7 linked regions of the Coturnix japonica genome follow. The protein of the gene in region 5 purifies or fractionates together with the protein of the main gene of each other region. This does not show direct contact. Links are inferred from orthologs where the notes say so. Each region holds a gene or a part of one and is shown on either strand. Other genes may lie near its edges.

The links.
Region 1: the proteins of E2F1 (region 5) and SKP2 purify together in Homo sapiens (affinity purification with western blotting; 6 studies listed by BioGRID). This does not show direct contact. The link is inferred for Coturnix japonica from reciprocal best matches to the Homo sapiens genes E2F1 and SKP2.
Region 2: the proteins of E2F1 (region 5) and PSMD14 purify together in Homo sapiens (affinity purification with western blotting; 3 studies listed by BioGRID). This does not show direct contact. The link is inferred for Coturnix japonica from reciprocal best matches to the Homo sapiens genes E2F1 and PSMD14.
Region 3: the proteins of E2F1 (region 5) and RBL2 purify together in Homo sapiens (affinity purification with western blotting; 3 studies listed by BioGRID and IntAct, with this or other methods). This does not show direct contact. The link is inferred for Coturnix japonica from reciprocal best matches to the Homo sapiens genes E2F1 and RBL2.
Region 4: the proteins of E2F1 (region 5) and TRRAP purify together in Homo sapiens (affinity purification with western blotting; 3 studies listed by BioGRID and IntAct, with this or other methods). This does not show direct contact. The link is inferred for Coturnix japonica from reciprocal best matches to the Homo sapiens genes E2F1 and TRRAP.
Region 6: the proteins of E2F1 (region 5) and KAT2A purify together in Homo sapiens (affinity purification with western blotting; 4 studies listed by BioGRID and IntAct, with this or other methods). This does not show direct contact. The link is inferred for Coturnix japonica from reciprocal best matches to the Homo sapiens genes E2F1 and KAT2A.
Region 7: the proteins of E2F1 (region 5) and SIRT1 purify together in Homo sapiens (affinity purification with western blotting; 3 studies listed by BioGRID and IntAct, with this or other methods). This does not show direct contact. The link is inferred for Coturnix japonica from reciprocal best matches to the Homo sapiens genes E2F1 and SIRT1.

Annotation. Positions count from the first base shown.
Region 1 is NC_029547.1:10,074,060-10,077,622, forward strand, and holds the end of SKP2 (S-phase kinase-associated protein 2), read left to right. Parts: intron 1-557; coding exon 558-665; intron 666-1,234; coding exon 1,235-1,445; 3' UTR 1,446-2,956; downstream 2,957-3,563. UniProt on the Homo sapiens protein: Substrate recognition component of a SCF (SKP1-CUL1-F-box protein) E3 ubiquitin-protein ligase complex which mediates the ubiquitination and subsequent proteasomal degradation of target proteins involved in cell cycle progression, signal transduction and transcription.
Region 2 is NC_029522.1:25,310,412-25,313,977, reverse strand, and holds the end of PSMD14 (26S proteasome non-ATPase regulatory subunit 14), read right to left. Parts: intron 2,665-3,566; coding exon 2,602-2,664; intron 964-2,601; coding exon 865-963; 3' UTR 537-864; downstream 1-536.
Region 3 is NC_029526.1:4,008,654-4,012,363, forward strand, and holds the end of RBL2 (retinoblastoma-like protein 2), read right to left. Parts: intron 3,534-3,710; coding exon 3,369-3,533; intron 2,995-3,368; exon of another isoform or gene 2,892-2,994; intron 2,617-2,891; coding exon 2,446-2,616; 3' UTR 697-2,445; downstream 1-696. UniProt on the Homo sapiens protein: Key regulator of entry into cell division. Directly involved in heterochromatin formation by maintaining overall chromatin structure and, in particular, that of constitutive heterochromatin by stabilizing histone methylation.
Region 4 is NC_029529.1:1,461,839-1,465,550, reverse strand, and holds part of TRRAP (transformation/transcription domain-associated protein), read right to left. Parts: intron 2,397-3,712; coding exon 2,212-2,396; intron 190-2,211; coding exon 1-189. UniProt on the Homo sapiens protein: Adapter protein, which is found in various multiprotein chromatin complexes with histone acetyltransferase activity (HAT), which gives a specific tag for epigenetic transcription activation.
Region 5 is NC_029535.1:1,933,385-1,937,627, forward strand, and holds the start of E2F1 (transcription factor E2F1), read left to right. Parts: upstream 1-1,297; 5' UTR 1,298-1,312; coding exon 1,313-1,504; intron 1,505-1,772; coding exon 1,773-1,863; intron 1,864-2,124; coding exon 2,125-2,344; intron 2,345-2,485; coding exon 2,486-2,638; intron 2,639-2,785; coding exon 2,786-2,900; intron 2,901-2,986; coding exon 2,987-3,179; intron 3,180-3,749; coding exon 3,750-3,997; 3' UTR 3,998-4,243. UniProt on the Homo sapiens protein: Transcription activator that binds DNA cooperatively with DP proteins through the E2 recognition site, 5'-TTTC[CG]CGC-3' found in the promoter region of a number of genes whose products are involved in cell cycle regulation or in DNA replication.
Region 6 is NC_029542.1:4,445,362-4,449,749, reverse strand, and holds the start of KAT2A (histone acetyltransferase KAT2A), read left to right. Parts: upstream 1-1,545; 5' UTR 1,546-1,572; coding exon 1,573-1,806; intron 1,807-2,099; coding exon 2,100-2,223; intron 2,224-2,320; coding exon 2,321-2,466; intron 2,467-2,609; coding exon 2,610-2,699; intron 2,700-3,037; coding exon 3,038-3,219; intron 3,220-3,296; coding exon 3,297-3,488; intron 3,489-3,585; coding exon 3,586-3,692; intron 3,693-3,781; coding exon 3,782-3,889; intron 3,890-3,965; coding exon 3,966-4,102; intron 4,103-4,207; coding exon 4,208-4,388. Other genes in the region: heat shock protein 30C-like, read left to right, coding at 121-723. UniProt on the Homo sapiens protein: Protein lysine acyltransferase that can act as a acetyltransferase, glutaryltransferase, succinyltransferase or malonyltransferase, depending on the context.
Region 7 is NC_029521.1:8,463,969-8,467,680, forward strand, and holds part of SIRT1 (NAD-dependent protein deacetylase sirtuin-1), read left to right. Parts: intron 1-753; coding exon 754-940; intron 941-2,153; coding exon 2,154-2,714; intron 2,715-3,712. UniProt on the Homo sapiens protein: NAD-dependent protein deacetylase that links transcriptional regulation directly to intracellular energetics and participates in the coordination of several separated cellular functions such as cell cycle, response to DNA damage, metabolism, apoptosis and autophagy.

The sequences.
Region 1 (3,563 bases), on a different chromosome or scaffold from region 5:
AACCGTATAGCAGTAATTAATAGCTGAGTAGGATTGCACAGCCAGAAGTTGCTTCCTAGGTTAAACTTAGAAAAAAAATACTATCTGTTTTGACTTAGTCTGGAGAGAGTAACTAACTTAAACATTTTTTTTTTTACCTCAGTGTAAATAGTATGTACATAAAGGATTTGTTCACTAATAAATGATAGCAGTCAACAGGTAAAAAAAAAAAAAAAAAAGGAAGCATTTGGACATGCAAAGCTAAGGAGCTTATAGTACCCTAGTGAGAGTTTCTTTCAGCTCTTGTACTACATGGCCACAGAATTGTTTTGATTTTATTTAAAAAAATATATATATATATTCAAATTTCACTCTAAGGTAACTACTTTTTCTTGTTATGGCTTCTGCTGCAGAAAACCTACCTGCAGAGAATCTCTGCTTCATTTGCCCTTCAATTGCTCTAATGGCAGAAAAACAAATTGATGTTTATTATACTTCTCAGCTTGAGAAATTTGAAATCAAATTTACTTCTGTTTTACAATTAAAGAATAATTTCTAATTAATATACTCTCGTACAGCGACAGTGTGATGTTGAAGCCGGAGTGTTTCCAGTATTTTCATCGACTCATCTTTCTGCAACATCTCTGTCTTAGCCGATGCTACCAAATATCACCTGCTGCCTTAGTGTAAGTAATCCCTAATTGCCCTTGGTTTACTAATTCAGAGGATCAGTAATTCTAAACTTGTTTTATTTTAGGCTTAAGAAGTACAAATACTGTTTTGATAAACTTACTGGTACAAACTAGGAGTAAAATAATGGGGAGACTAGCGTGCCTTATGTCTCTGTTTAAAGGCATTACTTTGCCAGCCCTGTCAGTCTCAGTATCTGTCAGCATTAGGCTTTTAATTGTGTGGCAATAACTTACTTTCAGAAATGTTAACAGAATGGACAGTACTTGCTGACCACTGTCAGAATCTGTGTATAACTTTCCTTTCTCTGCACCTGCATCAGTTATTGGTTAGCACCGAAGCACAGCACAGAGTTATTTGCTTGAGGGCATTTTTTTCTGCCTTCCGTTATTACAACTATTCAGCTCTATCCTGTTTTGTGTCTCAAAAAGTGTGCCCTCAAGTAAGAAACCAAAGCCTTTAGCCTAAAAAATTGAGTAAAAGCATGTATATCTAGTTTGGATGTAGACTGCAAAAAATGCCTTCAGTATAATGATTAACTTCTCCCTGTTTTCTTTCTTTCTAGAGATCTTGGTGAAATTCCAACGTTAAAGACTCTTCAGGTATTTGGAATAGTGTCTGATAGCTCCCTGCAGGTCCTCAAGGAGACACTTCCTAAAGTGAAGATCAATTGTTCACATTTCACAACTATTGCAAGGCCAACTGTTGGCAGTAGAAGGAACCATGAAATTTGGGGTATCAAATGCAGATTGTCACTGAGAAACTGTATTGGCTAACGGTCTTGTATGGTGGATGCCGTGGATGCACTGTGTAGTGAAGGTCCTTGAGAAGCAGAAAGTCAGAGCACATCCAATCATAGTTGCATTTTTATAAAGTATCGTATCTTGGTCTTGTGCCGTAACGTAGTTCTATAAACACGTTTATATTCTTTAAAAAAAAGAAAAAGAAAAAAAAAAAAAAGCCTTTAGAAATTTGGCAATCTGTGAGCAATTATAGGAACTTAAAAGAAAAAAACAAAACCTTTTTGTTTTAGGAAAACAAGAAAAAACCTTTTTGTTTTAGGAGAGCTACTTTAAAAAAAAAAGAATTTGTGAAACAATCACTGTCATGAAACTGTTACAACCTTTATGAACTGCTGCAAGTTCTGATGCAGCGGTGGTTGTACTGCGGTGCTGTAAAGGTGCTTTCGATTAACTCTTCCAGCTCTGCAACTCCTGGAAAATTCAGTGGAGACACTATATGTCTCCTGAATGGATTCTGCTGGTCTAGAGTTTACCAAACTCAAATCAGGTACTGCTGTCAGAGCAATTAAAATTATTAACTGAGTGACATCTGTACTAAGATGTGAAGCTATCCTGTTTGGGAGAGGGACAGAGAAGTGAGTCTGAATTCACTGAATATGGAAACAGTAAGGAAGCATTGGAATGGAGGTCTACAGGAAAGCACTTAAGAGCTCAATGCTGTATGAATAAGAAGCAATAATAATTGAGTTGCTGTGAAGTTTTTCAACAGGACTCCATGTTGCTTTTCTGTGCTTAAGTGAGCTTAAATTAGGAGCATAATCTCAAAACTTCTTACATAGGGTCTCTGAGCTGTATGTAGTATATTGGAAAAAGTGCTTGCAGGAGCAAGTATCTTGGTTCTGAAACTGAGCAGCAACAGACTGGGGCTGCACTGTAAGAATTTTGAGAGGAGCTCCTTTGGGGCTATTAAGAGACATCCATTTCTCTTTCAGCTTAAGTTTCTAGTATTTAACTTCCTGTATCTTTCAACACTAACAGGAGGAGTTTACATTGTCACAAAAAAAGCTGAATAACTAACAAAAAAAGCAAAAAAAATACCCAAAAAACCCAACCAAACTAAGACCAGGGACATGTAGTGAGCCCACACCTCTGGGGGAAGGGACCTGGCTCAGGCTACTACCACCCCCAGTCCAGCTGGGGGCTGGGCATGTTCCAGGGACGAGGGTAAGCATTATCTGAAGAGTCTCTTAGCACAAAACTTGCAAGCAGTGAGCAACAGTAGGGGATATACCATTGTGGTAAATGGGCTGTTGCATAGGCATAGAGTCTTCCAAAGTCAGTCCAAAGATAAAAAGCTCAGTAATAAGTACACACAGTTCACTGTGTAGTGTGGAAAATTGCTTGTTTGCATTCATGCCTTAAGTTACTTTAAACGTTTACTTCAAGAGGAAAGGTGTATCTATTTGTAATTCTCTCTCTGTGTAATGTAACCCCATGAAACTTGTTTTGCATTTAATAAAGAGCTAAGGAATTGCTATATTGTACAGAATGGCTAGTGATTTGCCACCCATGTTTTGGTGTGACTGAAAAAGCAGGAACTTGTTCAATCAGTGCCTGACCAACTGTGATTTACATGACAGGGTATCATCATGTCATGCTTAGTACATGAAAGCAAGCACATTAAACATGCACACACACACACACACGTATATATTTAAGTTGAAATCAGGCCTGGGACAGCTTCAAGCATCTATTAAACTTTTAATTTTATTACATAATGTATAAACTTTAAAAAAAAAAAAAAAAAAGCAAAGATGACATGTTTAGTATAGCAGAACACAAGTGTGGACAGGCACTAAAAGATGACACCATGGATTTGATTTGATTCAGCAGGTAGAAGAGTTCAGTGCCAGTCCAGGCCAATTAAATCAGTGTTACACCAATACTCAGCCCTGTCACAGAACACTGTCTACAAGGTAAGTTGTCTGTACTGCTTTCCTTTGTAACAAAGGATTTTACAATTCTTTAATAAAAAAGGTAGCTGCTTACTGATTATCTATTATAGATCTCTCACCCATCCTTGTTATTTAAATCAAGCATTCACCAGTAAATGCTATAACACAAGTGCAATTAAAATACAGACAGAACCAG
Region 2 (3,566 bases), on a different chromosome or scaffold from region 5:
TTCCCTCTCCAGTCTGTGGAAAGGGTTTCAAATGTCGTATTCCAGCTGGGACTCTTTCCTTATATTTATACATACGGGCACCTCATGTACCTCCTCTTTCACAGGAGGAAAGGTTCCTATAACCTTAGAGCAGCCTCTGCCACTTCAGCGTTTATTCTCAGAATACTGCTATTTATGACACCACTGGTGAGCGTTGTGTGAATCAGTTATCAGCAGAACTGAATGCATTTTCTTAAGGTCAGTTGTCTTCTGTGGATATTACAGTTTGAATACTACTGAAAGGCAGTGCTTAGCATAATTTTCAGCATTTTGGTTTTTGTAAAGCCTTGGAATTCAGTGCTAATACCTTTTTTTTTCTATCTCAAAAAGAATATTTGGCAATCAATGGGAGCCAAGTTTCATTGGAGAATCTTCTGCCGTCCTAGCAACTACTATCTCAGTAGTGTGACAGTGGGCAGAAATGTGTTTCACCAGCATGTTTCATACATCATTAATTCCCCTCACTCTTTCACAAAGAAGATCTTCCAGAACTTAAGACAGGCTTGTAAATGTATTTTTATTATGTTGCAACAATCAAAATATATATGTACTACTGATTTTTTCCCCCAAATATTAAATGAAAATTTAATACATTTTTTGCCCACGTTGTGTTCTTAAAATGCTTTGGAATCTGTAAAGACCCTGATGTAAGGAAACCGAAGCAACTGCACAATTAGAGACTGGAGGGTGTTAGAGAACTGCACTTAAACTGCAAATGAAGTCAGATGTCTCTGTTTAACCAAATATAGCCTCAACAGTCTCTCTTTGTGAGTATTAGAAACAATAAACAAATATACACAGAAAGCATCACAAAAAGGAAATGGGTTATTTAAATACAACTGTATCCAACATAGCAGCTAAACATTGGACAATGTTTGAAGTCATCAGCACATCCACATGCTCTTCTAAATGACGTTTTGGGTCCTGAAACACAAAGGATGCAGTAAGAGAAATGAGTAAATCTCTGTGAACACTTTTAATTACATCATTGTAAAACCACTGCAAGTTAAGAGGCTGGTGATGCTCCAGAATGTTGCTTTCTAACTAGACTTATCATATAGGAATTCAGAAATTGCTTAGTCCACACCATCACTCAGAGTAATTGAGGACTGGTTTAGGAACTGCATTCCTATACAGCCTCTGAAGGTTCTCTGTACTCTGAAGGTGTACAACCACAACAGCTGTGAGTTTTAAGGACAAAACACAACATGAGGAATTCACCTCAGCTCTGGTACTCAGCTGTTTGCTTTCAGATACTTGTGCAAAACTGCAGCCTAGTCCTGTAAAGTCTTCAAGTAGTTGTATAGACCATGAGAAAATCAGCACACAAATACCCATAAAAAATAAACAGAGCTGCACAACATGATGTTTAAAGTTCTGAAAAATGCAAAGCTAAACCTGAGCAGCTGCCTGTTTACAAAATGTTCTATATAAAAGTTGCAAAGAAACAAAAACACATGGAAATTACTCAGTAATTTTATCAGGAAAAATGGCTTTTCTTTAAAAAGAACTTATTCAAAACAGATATTTTTCTCCCTCATATGTGTAATGATTTAAATGATGAGAGCTCAAATCATGTTTAAGATGACACCAAAGCTCTTAAAATACAACCTTTGTCACATGTTTTATTATATATACTTACGTTTGTGTAGGTGAGCATAAACTCTATTGTTCTGAATGCTACAGAAATACACGAGTGACTGAACAATAGTGTAGATGTGTTATGACATAGCAGCTAGAAGCTGACACATAAGAGCAATCCAGAATCCTTTAAATTCTTCTGCTATTAGTAATACAATAAATATTGGTTCTTCAAGGATGTACTGTTCAGTTATAAAGCTATTTCTTGTTTCTGTTGCCTTTCTTGAATTTTGAATGCAATCTCTTACCAACTTGTTTTGCTCATTTATCCTCTTTTTCCAGAGCAGCTTTTTCCCTCAGCTTTTAGGTTAAAATCATAAATGTAAGTATTTCTCTGTGAAGTCCTCTATCTCCGGGCATTGTAAAGAGAATGATTTGAATAGATGTTTTCAGTTTCATTTATGGTTCTAAACTGTTTCACTCCAATAACAATATGAAGCTATGCATCTTACTCGCACACGTGCATATTGGAGCTCAGCATTGACTGTGCTTATGAAGGAGGACAGGGTGAGCTGGCTCATTAGCCACGATAAGGTATAAACTACACTCTCATCTTTTTTTCAACATGGCTGTTCTTTAAAAGCCTTCATGGTTTTGACCTTTCTGACAGTACAGACAAGGATATCTTTATGCATCCCCTTGGAAAGGAGAATAAAAAGGAAAAACTACCAAATCTTAACAGCGCTCCTCAGCATCTAATACAAATGCACATGGAATGTGACTTGCTGATATTCTAATGATTACCTAAGGCCAAAAGCCACGCTGCTCCCTACACCCCAACCTTCAGCAAAAATAAATTCACTATTCAGAGCACTGAGAATATCTTGCATGTAGAAATAAAATCACCTACGCACAAGTAAGGAAATTAATATTTAGAATGAAGGAAGCGTATCATTCCACCTCTAATTCATCGCACCTCACCTGCTTGCCAACATTTTTTATTGCCAGCTGTTCAGGTGTCATCTTATCTTCTTCTTCAACAGCCTGTGAACGAAACACAGAAAAGGTCAATGTTTCAGATTTCATTTACTTTTTCCCCACGCCACGAGATTCTCAAATATATTTCTCTTTCACCAAAAAAATAAAAAAATAAAAATCAAACGGCAACACGTTTTAGAAAGTCAAAAAGAAAGTGCTTCAGCTTTTCAGCACACATAGGTTTAATTACCAAGTGTTGGCGCAAAAGATCAAGGCAAATAGTTTTATTGTCAGGTAAGCAAAATGGATTCACAAATCTCTTTTAAGCAAAAATGCTAAGTGAGGGGTATTGATAGTTAAAGATAAAAGTTAAAGTGGTACAGCAAAAAGCATGTTGCCTACATTGTTTCAACTGTTAGAGGTTTGATCACAAGTACATTTTATAAGTGCTTAAAGTCACCAATGCATTTTTATCATATTCTGTTGTCTTCAGACACAGTATCTGTACTATGTAAATCCATTAACTTACCTAGCAAATGTAATACTGAATTTTACTTTCAAGGGCTTTTTAGATTTAAGAAAAAAATTGCCTCTGTCAATAATGACAGACAAGCTTACTACTTCTGGAATGGTTATCTATGTCTAGTATTTTGAAAAGGTCAGTATTAAAACAGTACGGGCAACTGATTCTTCTTCCTTACAACCCCAATAATAATTTCCTTCTCTAAAAAGAACATGAAATTAGGCTCTAGAATCAATTCTGAATATTTACTACCTGCCTATCTACTGTGATGATAACAATAAACAAGCTTTCTTCTGCTATTCTGTAGTCTGGACAAGTAGACCTTAGCTGAAGGAATGAAGAGCACAATTTCATTTTGAACTACAGAAATCCGAGATTCTTTTCACTAAGTACAAAATTAATTTAATTACTCATATTGCAAAGGGAAACATGTGATTAAGCATTT
Region 3 (3,710 bases), on a different chromosome or scaffold from region 5:
TGGATTTCTTAGTGAAACCCATGTTAATAGCAGTTTCCTTATGAGAAAATAATTGTATATATTTAAAGAATGGCAAATCTATTTCTAGTTCAAAACAAATAAATGGATGAGCTTTTTTTTCTTTTTTACGATTAAAAAAGGGAAGAGAAGGGAAGATTGACGGATCACCTGTAAGCAATTCATGCACAAAAAGGAGCAGTTCCAGGAGCAAGGTAGGCAGACAGCACCCAGACTGCACTGAAGAAACAAACCCTTTCCTCCAGCAGTTGGCTGTTACCTGTCCTGCTACTGCTGGGAGTCAGTTAATGAAAAATGGACTGCAAATGTTTGAGCTTCAATCAGTACCTGACTTAAGCAGCATTTTAAAAACACTTGTAAAAGTAATTCTTGTAATTCTGATTTCTGTAAAGAATATTTCAGAAATAGGAAGAGAAGCTTCACTATTTAAGACTATGACTTAACAGAGGCAAGAATAGTAATTTTTTTTAGAGTGAGTAGTTAATGAAGCGCTGCCCCGTTACCTGACACCCTGAATGTCAATGTCTGGCTGAGGTTCTTGTGATTAAGTACATCATGAGCCTCGCAGAACCCAGCTATGTGCTATTTTGGTGTTTGTGCCATCAGATCAGCCCGAGCCTTTGACAGATGCACACTGGGTGTAGCTTTTGCTCTTATGAAGCTTTTTTTCCACACAAGCCTTATTATGAGTTCTTTATTGAAAAATACACTTGCAGTGTTTCATACAAATTAATGGAAATGGTACAGAATAACAGAATTGTCTGACAAGTTCATAAATATTTTTACAGAAACATCTACACCGCTGCTCCACTTCAGCCCTTCTTACACAGGTAAGAACTGAAGATGCTTTTATTTTACCTTAATTGATTTTACTGTGGAATTAAGTCTCAAATCTTTCCATTATTCAAAGGAGCAGGAATGAATGAGAACGTGGAGCTTTTAAGTTCTGCTTCCTTACAAAACCTTCTGGCATCCGTGTGTGCTAAATTTTACAAGTACAACAGCATTGTCCCCAGTTGTCATTAAAGATGAGTCAACTGGCACAGGGCAGTAGTTATTAGGAAAGGTCTAAGCATACCAACAGGGCTGGTATTGTAGAATTGATTAAAATTTAAACAATTAGTATGTCTAATTAATATACGCACTGCTTTCTTATACCATTAGCAGGGGAGAGATTTCTCCCAGGCAGCCTGATTCTGTCCATTAAAAAAAAAAACCCAGAACCTCTTCCTTTGTCCTTTATAACCACTCAGAAGCACAGTGTGCACCTTGAGGAGACTGAGGCCACCTTCCTTCTACTGAGGAAGGGAGGTTCCTGGTTCTGACTCTCAAGCAGAACCAGCTGAAGAAACAACAGAGGTGTATAAAATTCCTTGACCAAAGCCCACGTCCCTGGCCTCCTGCATTTGTTACTGCATGCACATAACGTTAAAATGAATTCTTAATGCCATTTGCTGAAGAAGGGGAGCTATGGGATGTCACGTTGAAAATAAATACAAGAATTGGATTGTTTCCGTGAAGAAAAAAGGCTGAAGTCAGCCTTTAAAAAGATATTCACATTTAGAAAGTGCCATTGCAAATATACAGCAACACTAATCTGCCTTAAAAACGATGCTTCACAGCCCTATCCAAAGTGCCACCTTTTGAACACGAGTTCACCTTAGAACATTGCACAGCTAAAAATGATGCGTGAATGGAGTTAGCTACTTCTATACAACAAGGTGCCCAAATGTTAAAGCAAAACAACGTGATGGATTTGGGGGCACACAAAGCATCCTGAATACAAAAAGAATCCATTCAGACAGCTTCCTTCAGCGCTCAAAAAGCTTATTCCTATCTTCCCTTTCCAAGCAGAAAAGGCTGGATGTTGCCAGACTATTGCTTATAAATCATTCTTTTTATGGCAGTACTTAATGTTTTATTTTTTCCTTTTTTTTTTTCCCCCAGAGGACACATTTGACTATGAGTGCCTTGGTACAACGCTCCCATGTTTGATACATATACAACTTCCTATTCCAAAGCTGAAAATGGTCAAGCATTGATGAAAACACTGTAAGTACACTGGTTGAGCAGATGGATTTAAATACCTGTTACAAGGCAGAAAGCTGTATGAGGGATACATTCTCCAAGCAATACAAAGCTTTGAACTGCCTTCTGAAGCCAAAGCCAGCAGGTAGATCACTTGCCTTCTGATCAGCTTTACAACAGACAGAGTGGAACTGCAGGGTTCAGAACGCATCCTCCCCATCCCCTGGCACTGGGGAAGCTCTGGCAGGCAGAGACTCTGTACAGCCCAGCAGGGACTGGTCAGCATGGCCTGGCAGGAGGAGCCTGATGCCTGTGCGGTCCTGCTGAGTCCGTGGGATGCTCTGAGCTGGCAGCCTGGCACAGCAGCACAGAGGTCCTACCTGTGCTGAGCCCCAGCCCTCAGTGGGACCCTCGGTCGTTGGCTACATCTTGCAGGCGGCGTAACAGAGCAGTGTGGTTTTCCTGACAGATCCGCTTCGCTGGCGCTTCACTGTCATCTTCTAAGAGAATGCCTCTCTTCTTTGTTGGAGTTTCTCCTGTTCTAATCATGCTGTTAATTTCCTTTAGCCTCTGGGGAGAGGTGGAAAAAACAATCTCATTATTGTAGCAACCAAAAAAGTGATGTTTTTGCTTGTCCCGTTACTGCAGGCTTACAAATGCCTTATTTTTGGAGCTGTGCACTGTACAGTGCTTTCTGTAACAAACTAACCCTTTTGACCATTGTACTGGTCCCACTACTGGAGTCTTTATCAAGGCTTCTGTGTAAGATTTTTGATGCTCTGCTGGTGCACATGGAGCTGGAAGGCCTTCCTGCTGTAGTTATGACATGTTATCCTACACCACAGGTACAGAATTCCTATCCTGAGTGAAGACATTGCGTGGAGAAGGCTTCTACTTAATGGTGGATGACTGGAGGTCATGGGATTCAGTCTGTTCCATGTTCGCTTGGTGAGTCTTTTTGTGCTAAGAGACCTTTTGCCTCACTACGTAGATAAGAGGGAATGACTACTTCATGTTTGACTCTTAGGGCCTTCATGCCACACATCCCATTATGTAGTGTCACTGATGTACCTTCTGGCTCTTTCATATGTACCATTATCAAGAATAGCTTTTAAAAGTACACAAGTACCTTGGATACCTCACTGCTCTCCAGCTTCTTAGATCTGTAGACTGACAAGCTGGAGACAGTCTGGTGACAGAGTACAACTTTAACAGTGTACACTAAAAGGAGTGTTGAGCAGTCTTTTCTAGTCTAACACATCCCAACAGAAAGGGCAGAACTAAGGATTTATAAAACCAAACTAAACGCCTTTAGTTCTTACCTTGGATGGGCTGCTGCTGAAATAATAGAATATTTTCTCTCGATGAGAGGGAGCAGGCACATTTTTGTGTGGCGAGATGTACACCGGGTGGTTCTGAGACAGCTGGACTCGGCGAGGAGAGCTGATTCTCACAAAGGGGTAGGGAGAGAGCGGAGGAGAATCTGTCTGCTCAGGAGGAAAAAGAAAACACTCAGCTGCAACGTAATCTCAGTGAGCCACCTGTAGTACAGTTGATGTAAGCTGGTCATCTTAAACATAGTGTAGATCTTTTTTTTCCTCCACTACAGCCATAGCTTTCCTTAGAACACGGCAGGATTTGTCATACAACCAGGTATTTTACTC
Region 4 (3,712 bases), on a different chromosome or scaffold from region 5:
CATTTCAGGGTTGAGTCTGTTTAAATGAAAGATAAATTCTGCAAAGCCAATCAGGGCTAACTGAATAGTGAACATCTTTCGGAAGGTCCAGTAATCCGTGGCATTGGGGAATGTATGTAAAGCCCACTCCTTAAGCATACTGCGTGGCACCATGTTACTCTGCACTTCTTTAAGTATATCTCTGAGAACCTAAACATGAAAAATGTTATTTGAAAGAGATCATTTTTAGTGCAATTTTTAGCAACAATTATGCCCAAAGCAACTACCAGACTTCACTGAACTGCTGCACACCACTGGGGGAAAACATCCCGAACTCCAACACTCTTAATCCAACAGCATTTCCTGATTTCCTTACCAGGATACACGACGCTTTGTAAGTCCAGCCCCTGCAAAGCTGCCAAATAACCTCCGTCTTACAAGACTCCGATTTTAATAAAACCAAATAAGCTGAAGATCTACAGTCAGTCTGACATGAGAAAATCCAAGTTATGCACTGATTGAAGTAGCTTCAAAGCTTTCAAGAAAATCAGAAGCAAACTAAAGAGACATTCAATCACAGTGCAGCACCTCCTTAAGGCAAACTAATGGAACACACTCCACTCTCTTTAGGCTTCAGTGCAAGGTGGATTATGCATTTGTCAGCAATAAAATAAAACCCTCTGCTTAAGTCTGAATATTTGTATGTGTTAATAGTAACACTTATTTCCAACCTCAGGCACCAGGACGCTGAACACTACTGAAGGTCAGCAGCCCTGGAAGGAAAATACACATTTTCCATGGAACATCCTTGCAGTGAAAGATCTCCTTTTTGCATTGAAGGATGTAAACATCACTCAGCAATTAAGTGACAATCGTTATGGAGCCTACCTAGTTAATTTTCCTGAATTTCAAAGGGTCTGAGATAGAAACCTTACATAAAATAAAGTCAGAAAGGTTGCTGCTCAGACTAACACATTACTGAGCAAAATGCTGACCAACAACAGTGACATGGAGTCTTTCCATATCTGGTCTGCAACAACTAAGAAGACTAGTAATAGCCTTGGTTGGTTCTCATTATCAGGTGATGGTAGCCTGTAGGCAGCACGAGGAGACAGATGGCAAAAAGAGAAGTACAAAAAAGTTACAGCAGCAATTAGGCAGAATTTTTGGAAGGCATTTGACAAACAAAAAAGCATAATGACAAGATGTGAAATTGCACTTGGGATCTACAAAGACCAAAACCTAAAACCTGGTGGTTTCTTTGCACACAGCATAGTTTACTGGAAAAGGTAACGTTAAAAGTGGAGAGAAAAACTGAGAGATGTACTCATATAAATATGTGAACAATAAGTAATAATTTTTCCCTTAATGTAAACATACAGTTTACCAAAATATTTCATTACTATAGCACATCCTAGCCTAATTAAATAGAAAATGGAATGGAGCTAGAATGTTCTACTGCACCAGAGTGACAGTCAGACTGACTTCAGTTCCACGACTGTTGAAGAGTTTCATAACCTGAAGAAAAAAGTCCTCAAAATAGAAGCAGATGTTACATAACTCTTCGTTTTCTTTTCTAACAGAAAACATTCTCCAGATGATGTCTGTGATATACCGTGTATTTTCTAATAGCTGTATTTGATGCGGGACTAGCATTTGATATAAGAATTTGCATTAACCTTGGGATTAAAAACTGTAAAGGAACCGTATTTATCAGAATTAGATGTTTGGTGGAGGTTAGAGGGGCAGAAGTTGCTGCTTCCCAAGTATTGTCACATATTAGGGTGAGATTAGCCTCTGTTCCTAACTGACCTGGGTGGGATGAACCCAGGGTCAGTTTTAGGATGAACACCAAAAGATGAGGAAATGGCACCACATAGCATTCTCCGCTTACACAAATTAGGAACATGAAATAGGAATGCTTTTCCCATGTCATCAATTCATTATTTACAAAGCATTATACAAAAAGGACCTAAAAGTAATGAATCCTTCACCTGCTTCCAGCTGCAGTTCCCAAATACAAATACAGCTTTTTGGAGGCTTTCAAAGATACTCCAAAACGCCAATGAGGTATGAGAACTCCCAACAACACTTATAGTAAAAACAAAACGAATGCAAACCACCTCCTTAGTGAAATACCTCCAGCCCCTACCTAATGGGAGGGAGCTGAACGCGCTGTAGCAAAGTCCTCAAGAAATAACCCTCATGAGAACTCGTTCTATGTTCTAATACCTGGTGGCTAGCTTGAGTCCCCCGTGCTTGCACCGTTGCCAGCCTGTCATAGTATCGAGAAATAGGATTGTCATGCTCAATGCCCTTCTTGGCGCAGCGCTGCTTGTAGATCTCCACCAGAGACAGAGAGGAGGGATTGTCTTCGACCAGACGCATCTGCGGAGAAACGGCCACGACGCGCGGCACTGCAGTGGGCAGAGAGGGCAACAAAACACAACAGTCAGTTCCCAGCACTCAGAGAAGAGCACGAGCGTGCAGCCAGCAGCCCTTCACACCCTACCATAGTAATCAGCTGAAGGGCATCAAGAGAAAATGGTTCCAACTATGCTCATTACTAATTCATGAGCTCAGTTAAAAAGAAAGCAAGGCAGTTTTGTTTTGTTTTAAGTTTTATCTAAGCAGAAACATCTTTGCTATATTAGGAGAAAAAAAACCCAACAGTGAGCACTCCACCCTTCCTACTTTACCTGCAGAAAAGAGGGCAGTGTTTTGCTTTGCTGCAAACAGGTGGTGGTGATTACACAATGCTAGCATCATTTCAAAAACCATTATTCTGAAGAAGTAGTGAACTCAGTGCTGTGCTTAAAGTAATTCATAAAAACTGGGATAAAATCTACACATAGCTGAGGAACAGAAGTTTAGAGGGACAGCACAAGGGGGAAATGAAGTAAATTGTTCAACAACAAGAAAACTTAAAGCCAGGGAGGTTTTACTTCAGGAACTGTAAACCTGCAAAACCCCTATTTGCACACAAATGAATGGTGCTTCACAGATGTATCACTCCTGTGAGTCTTACATGTGCAGAACACGTGCACTCATGTCCAGAGAGAGGAGGCCTCTCCCAGCACAGCTGGTGAACCCGTGGGACTGCTGAGAGTGGCCTCTGGTCACCAGCAGAACGTTCTCTCATCGTTTCCCTCAGGATCTGTAATAACTAACCTCAGGAATACAGGAAAAAAATGTTCTTCAAATGCCCTTAAATTGTTTGATGCAATTTCTTCAATTGTAAAGAAACAAATGCATTCCACAGAAAGAGTGTTAATGAGCTCTTTCTTCTGGCCTGCTTCCATTACCCTCTGGCAGCAGAGAGAGGAATGTTCTTCAGGTTCTTTCAAATAGTATCAAACCACAAAGTACAGAATTATTTCCAAAAAGACTGCAGCTTAAAACCAGCAGTTTGAAGGAAAGCACGTTGCTTTCCTAATAGTGTTATATAAAGTACACGCCAGTGGCTTTTTTCTTTTTCTTTTCAGTCGTACCTCTCAAGGCCGTATCGACTGTATTTCTCACTTCTTGGCCTTGGAATGATGTAAGAGTGCCTTCACATACATAGATACTAAATTCACCCCTTGTTAGAACAAGACCTTTGATTTGTACATTTTAGACTCGTTAAAGCCAGGTCTCAATTAGGCACTTCTACCCCTGTAACTGCAACTTGCATCACCTCGTCACTGCTTCTGAGAGCAAGTCTGCATTAAGAGATACAGTGTGTACAGAGGGA
Region 5 (4,243 bases):
TGGCACGGGGGAGGTTGGGGGGGGGAGCCCGCTCCCCCTGCATAAACTGCCGTATGAATGAGGGAGGGGGGAATAAAACAAACCCGTGCTGCCCCCAGCTGCCCCGGCCTTTGTGAGCGCGGTGGGAGCAGCTGGTGCCGCAGCTGCCGCTCACAGCCCGCGGCCCCGGAACGGCCCCGCAGCCGGGGCGGGTGGGACCGTGTGTCCGGGCGGGGCGGCACCAACGGGCCGCATCTGGCGTGTAACTGCTGCTCGTACCACTCGCTAACGGGGATATCGCCGTGACCGGGGTGCGGGTTATCGCAAGGGCCGAGCGTTAATTAACAGCGCTCACCGCCGCCAAGCGGAGCGGTGCTGCCGTTCGGTGCTGTGCTGCAGGGCTGGGCCGTGGGCTCCGCAGCCACAGGAAGAACGAGCAGCAAAACACCGCTCAGCGTTCACTACATCCCCGCTGTGAGGCACCGCCCGCACCCAGCGCTAACCCGGCCGTCCCGCTGAGCCCCGCTGCGGCCGCAGCTCCAACTCCGGCCCCGCAGTACCGAGATGGGGGGGTGTTTATGTCCCTGTGGGTTGGGCTCCGTTGGAGGCACATTGAGGTTATCAGCGCCCCGCACACGGGATACAGACGGCGGGAGCCGCCCACGCCACGTCCCGCGGCTTTGACTATGGGCTGCCCTGCCCTGCACCGCCCGCACCGCCACGGACACGCAGCTCAGCCCCGCAGCCCGCACAGCGTCACGGGCAGCTCTAGCCCAGCAGTGCAGGGAGCGCCCGGCGCTCAGACCCGTCTGTGAGTGACCCCACGCGGGACCAGCTCCGCGCCGCCCTCGGCCCCTTTAAGGCCCGGCCGCGCTCCTCACCCACGCGGCGCCACGGCCGCGTCCCCGAGACGCCTCCCGATTGGCTCCTGCCTCAGCTCGGCGGTTCTGATTGGCCGCCTGTCAGCGCGTCCGCCGCCGCCGCCCTTAACCAATGGGCGGCCGGCACCGCCCCTCCCTCCGGCGACCTCGACCAATCAGACGGTTTCCCCGCACCCCCGCCTCAGCGCTCGGCGTTGGGCGCAGCCAATGGGCGGGCGCGGGGAGGTTGGCGCCGCTTTCGCGGCAAAAAGGATTTGGCGCGCAAAGGCGCGCGGGGCCGGAGCGCGGGACAGCCCGGCACAGCCCGGCACGGCCCGGCACGGCCCGGTACAACCCGGAACGGCCCGGAACGACCTGGGGAACGGCCCCGCGGATCGGCCCCGCGCCCGGCAATGGGCCGCGCCCCCGCCCCGGCCGCGGCCCCGCGCCCCGCGCCGCCCGTCACCTGAGCCATGGCTACGGCGGGCGGCGCGGCGGGGCTGGCGGCGCTGCTGGGCGGCTCCTCCCCGCACCTCCTCATCGTCTCGGCCTCCGAGGAGCCCGCGGGCGGCTGCCGCCCCGACGCCGACCTCCTGCTCTTCGCCACGCCGCAGCCCTCCCAGCCCGGCCCCGCGCCGCGCCGCCCCACGCTGGGCCGCCCGCCGGTAACCGCGGGACGGGGGAGGGAGCGGGGCTGAGCGGGGCTGAGCGGGCCGCCGGGCGGGGCCGGGACGTCGCGGTGCCCACGCGGGACCCCCCCCCCCCCCCCCGTCAGAGCCCGGCCGCGCGGGGCACCGCCGCTCCGGAAGCCGCCGCCGAGGCCGCCTTCCGCCCGGCAGCGCCGTTGCGCGGGGCTGCCCCCACAGGCCGGGGCCCGGCCCTGCCGCCGCGGTGCGTTCCGCGTCCCCGCGCTGAGGACGCCCTGTCCCGCAGGTGAAGCGGAAGCTGAACTTGGAGACGGATCACCAGTACATCGCCGACAGCCTGCCCGCCGCCCGCGGCAGGGCCCGCATCCCCGGCAGAGGTACGGCCCCGCTGTGCTGCCGGCCTGAGCCCTTCGGGATGGGCCTCGTCACCTCCCTCTTCCCCTCTGCCACCTGCCGTCCCCGTAGAGCGCTGGGCCCTGCCCGGCTGCTCGCTGTCAGGGCTCAGTCTCGGGGCCCTGCAGCACCATCCCCCGAGCTTCCCATTGCCAGCAGCTGCCGGGTGCTGCTCACCTGCCGGGTGTGGCGGTGCTGGGGCTGCCCCGCGCCCCACGGCTGAATCTTGCACCTGTCCCCAACAGGGGCAAAGTCTCCTGGGGAGAAATCCCGCTATGAAACCTCACTGAACCTCACCACCAAGCGCTTCCTGGAGCTGCTCAGCCAATCCCCCGATGGTGTGGTGGATCTCAACTGGGCGGCCGAGGTGCTGAAGGTGCAGAAGAGGCGCATCTACGACATCACCAATGTCCTGGAGGGCATCCAGCTCATCCGCAAGAAGTCCAAGAACCACATCCAGTGGATGTATGTCCATCAGGGTGGGGGGATAACACCGAAGCTGCCAGGGTTGGGTGGAGGGAGGGAGGTTGGGTTCCACCCTGAGATCGGGAGGTGATGGCAGCAGTGGGGTGTTAGTGCTGGGGGTGACAGCCCTGTGTACCCCAGGGGCAGCCAGGTGGCCGCGGGGGCTTCAAGCCGACAGCAGCTGCTGGAGAAGGAGCTGCGGGATCTGCAGGCGGCAGAACGGCAGCTGGACGAGCTCATCCAGACGTGCACGGTGCAGCTGCGGCTGCTCACCGAGGATCCCTCCAACCAGCAATATCCTTCGGTGCGGGGCCGGGATGGGGCTGGATGGGCTGGAGAGCTGTTGGGGAATGGAGCCCCCCCCTGCTCTGACACTTATGGTCACTGTGTGGGGTTTTGGGTGTGAATGTGGCCCCGTGTCTGCTCCTTGACCCGCCGCACCGCAGCCTACGTCACCTGCCAGGACCTTCGGAGCATTGTGGACCCCTCTGAGCAAATGGTGATGGTTATCAAGGCACCCCCAGAGACCCAGCTGCAAGTCTCAGACCCGGCAGAGGTGAGTGAGGGGTCTCTCCTCCCCATGGATCTTCACAGCCCTCGGTACAACTCCACCTTGGCACTCCATGTCCCTCCTGTCCCCAGGCTTTCCAGGTCTCAGTGAAAAGCACTCAGGGCCCCATCGACGTGTTCCTCTGCCCCGAGGACAGCTCAGGGGTCTGCAGCCCCGTCAAGAGCCCCTTCAAGGCACCTGCTGAGGAGCTGTCCCCTGGCTCATCGCAGCAGAGAGCCTCCCCGCTCCTGCATCCTGCTCAGGATGTCAACATGCTGCTGCCTGGTGAGCAAGGTGGGGATGGGGATGGGAATGGGATGGGAATGGGATGGGAAGGGATGGGATGGGATGGGATGGGATGGGATGGGATGGGATGGGATGGGATGGGATGGGATGGGAATGGAATGGAATGGGGGCACTGCCTGGGCTCTGTGGTGTGGGGACAGTGTTATCACTGTTGTTCCAGTTCCAGGAGCACGAGGTTACAGGGCTGAGGTCTTGGCTGTGTGTTAGGAGGAGCCTGACCTCCATGCTCATGCAGTGCCAAGTAGTTGGACTCAATGATCCTTATGAGCGAGTCCTTTTTAAATTGGGGTATTCTGTGATCCACCCAGCTGTGGGCTCTGCTCCTACCCAAGCTTGGCAGAGACAGCCCTGGATCTTTCTGCTTAGGAAAGGACACTGTCCCTCTTTGTCCCACCACTCAGCAAGTGGTCTGAGTCACGCTGCCCAGTTGGCCTGGATGTTTCTGATCACTCCTGATGCTTTGTGTGCCATCTGCATGGCCTCAGTAGCTTAGAACACAGCAGTTCTGGTGTGTGCTGTGGGGCTGACAGCCTCGCTCTGTCCCCACAGAAGCACTGCTACCAGGCACAGCACTGCCCTCCAAGTGCTCCACAGAGGATGTGAGCCTGTCACCGCTGGCCTCCATGGACACCCTTCTGGAGCAGGCCAAGGACGATTTCTCGGGCTTCCTGGCGGATGAGTTCATTGCCCTGTCACCACCACAGGCACAGGATTACCACTTCGGCCTGGAGGAGGGTGAGGGCATCAGTGAACTCTTTGACTGTGACTTTGGGGACTTCACGCACTTGGACTTCTGAGGCTCTTGTCCTGATTTCAGAAGCTATCCCACTGCCAAGGGGGGGGACGCAGGCAGGGCTGAGGACAGCCACGTGGTGCCCTGTGCCTTGGTGTGGCTCTGGTGCCTTCCTGGGGTCCCTGTGCTGCAGCAGCCCTGGGCCCCCTCCATCCGTCCCCTCTGCAATATTTTCTTCCCTCCTATCCGGCATCTCTGTGCCATGATGGGACAGAGCCCAGCTTGGTGCTTGAGCCCACATTGGGGCCTA
Region 6 (4,388 bases), on a different chromosome or scaffold from region 5:
GGGAGAGAGCGTTCTGGAAGGGGCACACCCCTGGGGAGAGCAGGATAAAACCCCGCGTCCCGGCGGCAGCCCAGCACCGCTCCAGCCCTGCGAACAGCAGCAGCCGCAGCACCCGCAGAGATGCTTTGCCGCCTGCACTTCATGCCGCCCACCTCCGGGTCTCTGTTCCCGTGGCTGGGACCCGTCCGCACCCTCTGGCCGCACCCAGGGACCCTCTTCGCTGAGCTGGAGAGGGAGATACGGATGGAGATGGAGAGAGCTCGGCAGTTCATGAGCAGCTTCGAGCAGCTCCTGAGCAGCGGGAGCAGCTCCAACCGCGTCAGCATCGAGCGGGCACCGAGCAGCAACGCGGCTCTGACCCAGGGCTCCGGGGAGGGATTCTCCGTCTGCCAGGACGTGAAGGACTTCGCCCCCGAGCAGCTGTCGGTGAAGGTGGTGGGCAGGAAGGTGGTGCTGGTGGGGCAGAAGGAGACGCAGAACACGGACGACAAGGGCTCCTTCTCCTACAAGTACGAGGTGCTGAAGCGCGAGTGGGACGTGCCCGAGGAGGTGGACGCCGAGGCGCTGACCTGCTCCCTGTCCAGCGAGGGGCAGCTGCGTATCGAGGCCCCCCGGCTGGCCCTGCCGCCACCCAACGAGAGGAACGTGCCCATCCAGCTGCCGGCAGCAGCGGCTCAGCCCGCGGCCAACGCCGAGGATGGAGCAGAGAGAGCCAAGGCGTGATGGAGCAGCGCGGGGCCGGGCTGAGCCCGGTGCGGGGGGGGATCTGTGGCCAAAGCGTGAAGGTTTATTTTTGATATGTAATAAACTTCCTTGACTTTTACATACACGGCTCGTGTCTTTGTTCATTTGGCGGGTCGGTCACCCCGGGAGCTGCACTGCGCCCTAAGGGCGCATCCCCGGCAGCTCCTCACCCCGCCCCGGTGGAGGAGGACGGACAGGGAGCGCTGCCACTCGTGCACAACAACACGGACACGGGGAGCGCCCCGGGACAGCGCCGGACACTTCGGGAAGGCGCAGGGACGTTCTCCGCGCTGCCGGGCGGGGACAGCAGCCGCCCCCCTCCCCACCCCCCATTACTTCCCCCCGCCCCGTCCCGTCCCTGCTCGCACGTTCCAGTCGCTGCGCGGCGCCCCGCGAAGGACGTTCGGCCAAACCCGCCCCCCCGGTGCTGCGGGCGGAGCCGCCCCGTGTCGGGACATTCGGGCTCCGGCCGCTCCTTGTTTCCCGGCTGTGGGTGACGCCGCGCTCCGTGTTTGGCGGCGCGGCGGATCCGTTCCCACGGTCCCGGTACCGGACCCCGGGCCGGCGACCCCCGTTTGCTCCGCGCTGAGCGTCGGCTCCGCGTTACCGGCGCAGCCCCGGGATGGGCGCTCCGAGCGGCGGCTCCATGGTCATCCCGCGGCGCTTCCTTTGTGCCCGTCCGCCATCCCGCCCCTCCGTCGGTGCGTTGCCCGGTCCCCATCCCGGTATCCCGGTATCCCGGTTCCCATCCCACCCCGCCGCCCGCAGCAGCTCCCGGCGTGCCCGGCGCGCAGGCGCAGTGAGCTCGGAGCGCACGCCGAGCCCGGCATGGCGGAGCCGGAGGCCGCGCAGCCCGGGAGGCCGCCACCGGCACCGGGAACCGCGGCGCCGCCGAACGGCGGGATGGGGAGCGGGGGGGCGGCTCCGGGAGGGGCGGGATCCAGCGACCCGGCGCGGCCCGGGCTCAGCCAACAGCAACGGGCGAGTCAGCGCAAGGCGCAGGTGCGGGGCTTCCCCCGCGGCAAGAAGCTGGAGAAGCTGGGGGTGTTCTCGGCCTGCAAGGTGGGCGCGGGGCAACCGGCTGCGCGGGGCGGGGGAGCAGCACGATGAGATTGGAGGGGTCGGAGGCGCCGAGGGCCGGGATGTGCCGGGATGTGCCGGGCTGTGTGATGCTGTGTGATGCTGTGCGGGGCTGTACCGGGCTGTGCGGGGCTGTACGGGGCTGTACCGGGCTGTACGGGGCTGTGCGGGGCTGTACGGGGCTGTGCGGGGCTGTGCGGAGCTGTGCGGAGCTGTGCGGGGCTGTACGGAGCTGTGCGGGGCTGTGCGATGGTTTCTCCCGTCCCTCCTCGCAGGCGAACGATGCCTGCAAGTGCAACGGCTGGAAGAACCCCAACCCCCCCACCGCCCCCCGCATGGACCTGCAGCAGCCGGTGACCAACCTGAGCGAGCCGTGCCGCAGCTGCGGCCACGCGTTGGGTAACCGCACACAGCCCCGGGGCTGCACGGCGCTGGGACCCCCAACCGTGGGGCGCTGCGCCCACCCCCATCTCACCACGTGCTGTCTCTGCCGCAGCCGACCATGTGTCCCACCTGGAGAACGTGTCGGAGGAGGAGATCAACCGGCTGCTGGGCATGGTGGTGGACGTGGAGAACCTCTTCATGTCGGTGCACAAGGAGGAGGACACGGACACCAAGCAGGTCTATTTCTACCTGTTCAAGGTGCGTCCATCTGTCCTGTTTGCCCTCTGCCCCACCTGCGGGCAGCTTCACTCCGTGCAGCCCCATTGCGGAGCTGCTGTGTCTGATCTCCTGGGAAGGGAGCGGGCATTGAGGTGCTGACGTGTCCCGTGGGGTCTTTGCAGCTCCTCAGGAAATGCATCCTGCAGATGAGCCAGCCGGTGGTCGAGGGGTCCCTGGGGAGCCCCCCCTTTGAGAAACCCAACATCGAGCAGGTGAGGCGGCTGTGGGCTGTGCTGGAGACTTGGGCTGTGGGCAGACAGGGCTGAAAACCCTGAACTGAGCAGACACAGCAGCAATTTGGCTTCATGGTGACCCCACGTGCTGTGCTGCAAACTCATGGAGCTTTCAGCTTTGTCACTGTGTGGAAAAAGAGGGAGTGTGTGTGTGTGTGTGTGTGTGTGTGTGTATGTGCTGGTGGCAGCAGTGGCCCTTCTGCTCCTGCCACCTCTCCATTCCTCCTGCTTGGATCTTGGAGGTACCTGCTGCCAGCTGGGCTCCGTGGCGCAGTGACCCCGGCCCTGGCACCCTCCAACCCACTCCTCTCCCCCAGGGGGTCCTGAACTTCGTGCAGTACAAGTTCAGCCACCTCCCACCCAAGGAGCGGCAGACGATGTACGAGCTCTCCAAGATGTTCCTGCTCTGCCTCAACTACTGGAAGCTGGAGACGCCGTCACAGTTCCGACAGCGCTCGCAGAATGACGACGTGGCCACCTACAAAGTCAACTACACCAGGTGAGGGGGGGCTGCCTCTGCATGGGGGTCTCCCAGCAGTGTTGCTGCAGGGGGGATCCCAGCACTGTCCCCCGCAGGTGGCTGTGCTACTGCCACGTGCCGCAGAGCTGCGACAGCCTGCCCCGCTACGAGACCACGCACGTCTTTGGGCGCAGCCTCCTCAAGACCATCTTCACCGTCACCCGCCGGCAGCTGCTGGAGAAGTTCCGTGTGGAGAAGGACAAGCTGGTGCCGGAGAAGCGCACACTGATCCTCACCCACTTCCCCAAGTAGGTGCCAGGCGCGGGGCTGCCGTCTGCGCGGCCGTTTCCCCTGTGCTCCCCATGGAGCTGTGTGCACCCAGCTCGGTGTGCTGCTTGCTGCCAGGTTCCTGTCCATGCTGGAGGAGGAGATCTACGGGGAGAACTCGCCCATATGGGAGGCAGATTTCACTGTGCCGGCTGCGGAGGGCGCCCAGCTGGTGTCACGTCCAGGTACCGTGGGGTGTTGGCTGGGCCGGTGCTGTCACGGCTGCATTGTGGATGGGGATTCCTCAGACTTACGGCTGCCTGCTCTCCTGCAGCCACCGTCAGTGCCGTCACTGTGCCCAGCGCTCCGCTCTTCAGCAAGAAGCTCAGCAGCAGCAGCTTGGCCACGAGCATGGACACTGGCACGCCAGAGCCTCTGCCAGGTAGGGCAGTGCAGGGAATGGGAACGGCTCCGGCCCAGCAATGGGGGCTCTGCCCGACGAGCTGCTGCTGCCCCAGGGGAGAAACGGAAGCTGCCTGAGAGCCTGACACTGGAGGATGCCAAGAGGATCCGCGTGATGGGCGACATCCCCATGGAGCTGGTGAACGAGGTGATGCTGACCATCACCGACCCCGCTGCCATGCTGGGCCCTGAGGTATGGGGGAGGGGGGGGCACATTGGAACAGCATCGCAATGGGGCGCAGCTCGTGGGGTGCTGGCACCTGGAGGGCTCTGAGGTCCTGGGGCCGGGGGGGCTCAGCTGCCTCCTATGCAGACCAGCCTGTTGTCGGCCAACGCGGCGCGGGATGAGACCGCCCGGCTGGAGGAGCGCCGCGGCATCATCGAGTTCCACGTCATTGGCAACTCGCTCTCGCAGAAGCCAAACAAGAAGATCATGATGTGGCTGGTTGGTTTGCAGAATGTGTTCTCCCACCAGCTGC
Region 7 (3,712 bases), on a different chromosome or scaffold from region 5:
ACAGCTGAGAAAATAATTTGCTCAGTAGTAAAGCCCTGTCTGTCTATATTTGCATCGCTCACCTGTTTGCTTTTCTTCTCCTTGAAAAAGTATTAAGTTGAAAGAGGTCAAAAAGGTCAGAAAACCCTGTGGTTTCAAGAGAAAAAGGACTCTGCTTCTCCATGAGCATAACCAGCATCTACTATCGCTCTGCTCTTAGAAGAATTGGGAAATTTTAAAAGGGAGACCACACAAAAGCTCCTCCCCTGTTCTTGTTCTGTGTGCTTTTGCTAGCCACTTGCTACAGCGCCACATTACTTCATGCAACCTCTCTCTTTGGAGAAGAGAAAGCAGAGAGGTAATGCTCTATAACATGCTGTTTGATTAGGAAGGGGTGCATAACAGATTGTATAATGGAAACTGATAGTGAAAGTAAAGCTTTTGTTCTGATTAAACCAATTAATTATCTTCCTTTCCACTAGGAGGTGATTACACATTAGTGCTGAGTATGACACGTAGATTTTGGCTTAGTTGTTTGCTAAGAACAGAGGTGTAGACTTTCTTTGTTTCTCCATTTTGACATAAAAAGACTCCTTCATTCCCAATGTAGTTCTGTGTGCAGAGTAGAGTAAGAAATGCATTCATTCACAGGAAAAAAATAAATGAGGAAATATCACTGAAGCTTCTGTCTTACACCAGAATAAGTCACTGTGCATTGCTAAAATCTGTGGCACCTTAAAAGCCTCAATAGTGATACAAGCTGCTCTATTGCAGGTTGTTCCTAGATGTCCTCGCTGTCCGCCTGATGAGCCACTTGCTATCATGAAGCCTGACATAGTGTTCTTCGGAGAGAATTTACCTGAGCAGTTCCATCGTGCCATGAAGTACGACAAAAATGAAGTCGATCTCCTTATTGTCATTGGGTCTTCACTGAAAGTAAGACCAGTAGCATTGATTCCAAGTAAGTGACTCACATTGGAAATTTCTTCTTTCAAAAAATGGGATGAAATTAAAATTCTCAGTTAAGAGTTCCAGTTCTGAGTGTTTTTTCTACACTTAAGCCAGAGGAGAGATCTCAAAGTAATAAATCTATAAGCCAGAGAACCACTGCGCTAAAAGTTAAATGTCTTTGTTCTGAGACGAATGTATTTCTCTCCCTGTTCATAATATGCTTCTGGAATTGTGAGATTTAGAGAGTAATTGTCTTTTAAAAGATAAATGTAGTGTCAAAAAAAAAAAAAAAGAAAAGAAAAAAGAAAATGGAACAGGTACATCAGGTGTTTAAGCAGTAATTAAAGTCAATGTGCTAAACAATACATAGTAGGCAGTACATAGTGTACAGCCACTTGGGTCCTTACTTCTTAAAGGTGATAAGGAAAACTATCCGTGCTACTACAAAATAAGTCCTTCAGGAGGTCTGAGAAAATATGATTGCAGGTTAATTATTTGCCTATTAAACACACAACTTAACTTGCACTTTTAACACTCAAGCCTGAGAAGGGCCTGCACCAACCATCTGCTGCTCAGTGGGGACAGAGCCACATCCAGCACTTCTGTAGTAACACCCTCTTTTCTTTATACAAGAGGTAGAGCCTTGTGTTCAGGCTGATGGGAAAGTTAGGATCCACAAATCACTGCTCCATCCACAAACTGAATTTCATTAGTTGGTTATCTGAAGAACCAGTCAATACCAGGCTATCAGATTGTGGGGTTTTGGAGCCCCAGATGTGTTAAGCAAACCCTTACATCACAGACTGTACCTGCAGATATTCTGACCTAATTAAGAGAAAGTCAGTTAACAACAGTACCTTCTTTGTGCGCACTGAAGTGCATCAAATGAATGTACAAGATCACTGCAGTCCTTCAAAGAAATTACAGTACTGTAATAATCTTGTAATAACACGTGACCAAACATTGCCGTAGTCAACATTTTTGCGCACGGGTTTCTTAGTGGTGAAATAGAAGAACACCTTATACTGCAAGAAACGGGGAAATCTAGATAGACTACACAGGCACAGCACCTCACACTGCCGCTCAGCTTTGTTACATTCAAGATTTGCTTGTCTTCGGACAGACCTCGAAGACATCTCTGAGAAATGAAGTCTTTTTGGAAGACCTTTGGTAGAAAGTAAAACCAAAATGCCTGTCCTCAAACTGTCTTCTCTGTGTTTTAGGTTCCATCCCTCATGAAGTGCCTCAGATCTTAATTAATAGGGAACCTCTGCCTCATCTACACTTTGACGTGGAGCTTCTTGGAGACTGTGATGTTATTATTAATGAATTATGTCAAAGGTTAGGTAGTGAATATACAAAACTTTGCTACAACTCAGTAAAACTTTCAGAAATAACAGAAAAGCCTCCACGAATGCACAGAGAGCTGGAAATGCACTCAGCTGAGCTGCCGCCTACACCCTTAAACATTTCAGAAGACTCTGGATCACCAGAACAAATGACTCCACCGGATACTTCGGTGGCACCCTCAGAACACGCAGCTGAATGTAAGGTAGAAAACTGTGATCCTGCCTCTGAAACTAAAGGGATCTGCACGGAGGAAAAGCTTCAAGACACACAGGCATCCTCTGAAAACCCTGAAAATACTTCTAGTGAATTAATGAACTCTGAAACAATGAAGGAAAATGGAACCAACAATGGAGAAAGCAAAGACAAAAATGAAATAGTGAAGAAGTGCTGGGCAAACAGAGCTGCAAAAGAACAGATTAGCAAAAGGCTGGATGGTAAGTGTTAACTTACTTCATTCTCTTGCAGATTTTGACTTACGTGTTTATTCTAGACTTCCTTTAAAGCAATAAATAAGTTGCCCTTGAGGGAATCAGTGGGTTTTTTTTGTGGTTATTTCTGCTCAGAAAAGTATCTACTTTTTTTATTGTCAATGCAGAGTTTATTTCTTTCAGAGGAGCTAACAGGAAAACTCTAATTGAGAATTGATTTTATAATCAGTGATTACTGAATGGTTTTAAACTGAGACAGGGGAGGATGTTTTTCACCCAGAGGGTGGTGGTGCACTGGAACAGGTTGCCCAAGGAGGTTGTGGATGCCCCATCCCTGGAGGCATTCAAGGCCAGGCTGGATGTGGCTCTGGGCAGCCTGGTCTGGTGGCTGGAGACCCTGCACACAGCAGGGAGTTGGAACTGGATGATCTTTGTGGTCCTTTTCAACCCAGGCCATTCTGTGATTCTGTGACTACAAACTCCCTAGAAAGATCAGAGTCCAAGAGGCAGAAGCTAAGTATCAAAAATAAACACACCTGTCTTACATTTTCTAATGCGTTTCCAGAAAAACCGTATCAATCTTGGCATTTTAAACACTATGTCCCAACTCTGTTCTGTAGCAGTGAGGGACCAAAGTCACCACAAGATTCAAAAAGCAAATCACACAGCTGGAGCCAGGCACATTCCAAAGGAAACATCAGCCTTTCCAAAGAAGCCCTCCGTTGTGCAGTCTGTTAACTGATGTAACAAGTAATTGAGCTACAAAGTCAGTGAGGATGGAGAACCAAGGATTAAGTTGCAGTTTTCCTAAAGCAAAGTCTGTCTGAATTTTGTCAAGCACTCTGTGTGCTGGGTACCAATTCTATGGTACAACCAGTTGCATTCTAGCTGTGAATACAAGTACCAATAAAAAGCTCTCAAACATTAGTTTAAACACCGCTTTTACATCAAAGGGAGGGAGGAGAGGAAACAGCTTCTCAGAAAAGCACGCATTAAATGCTGTT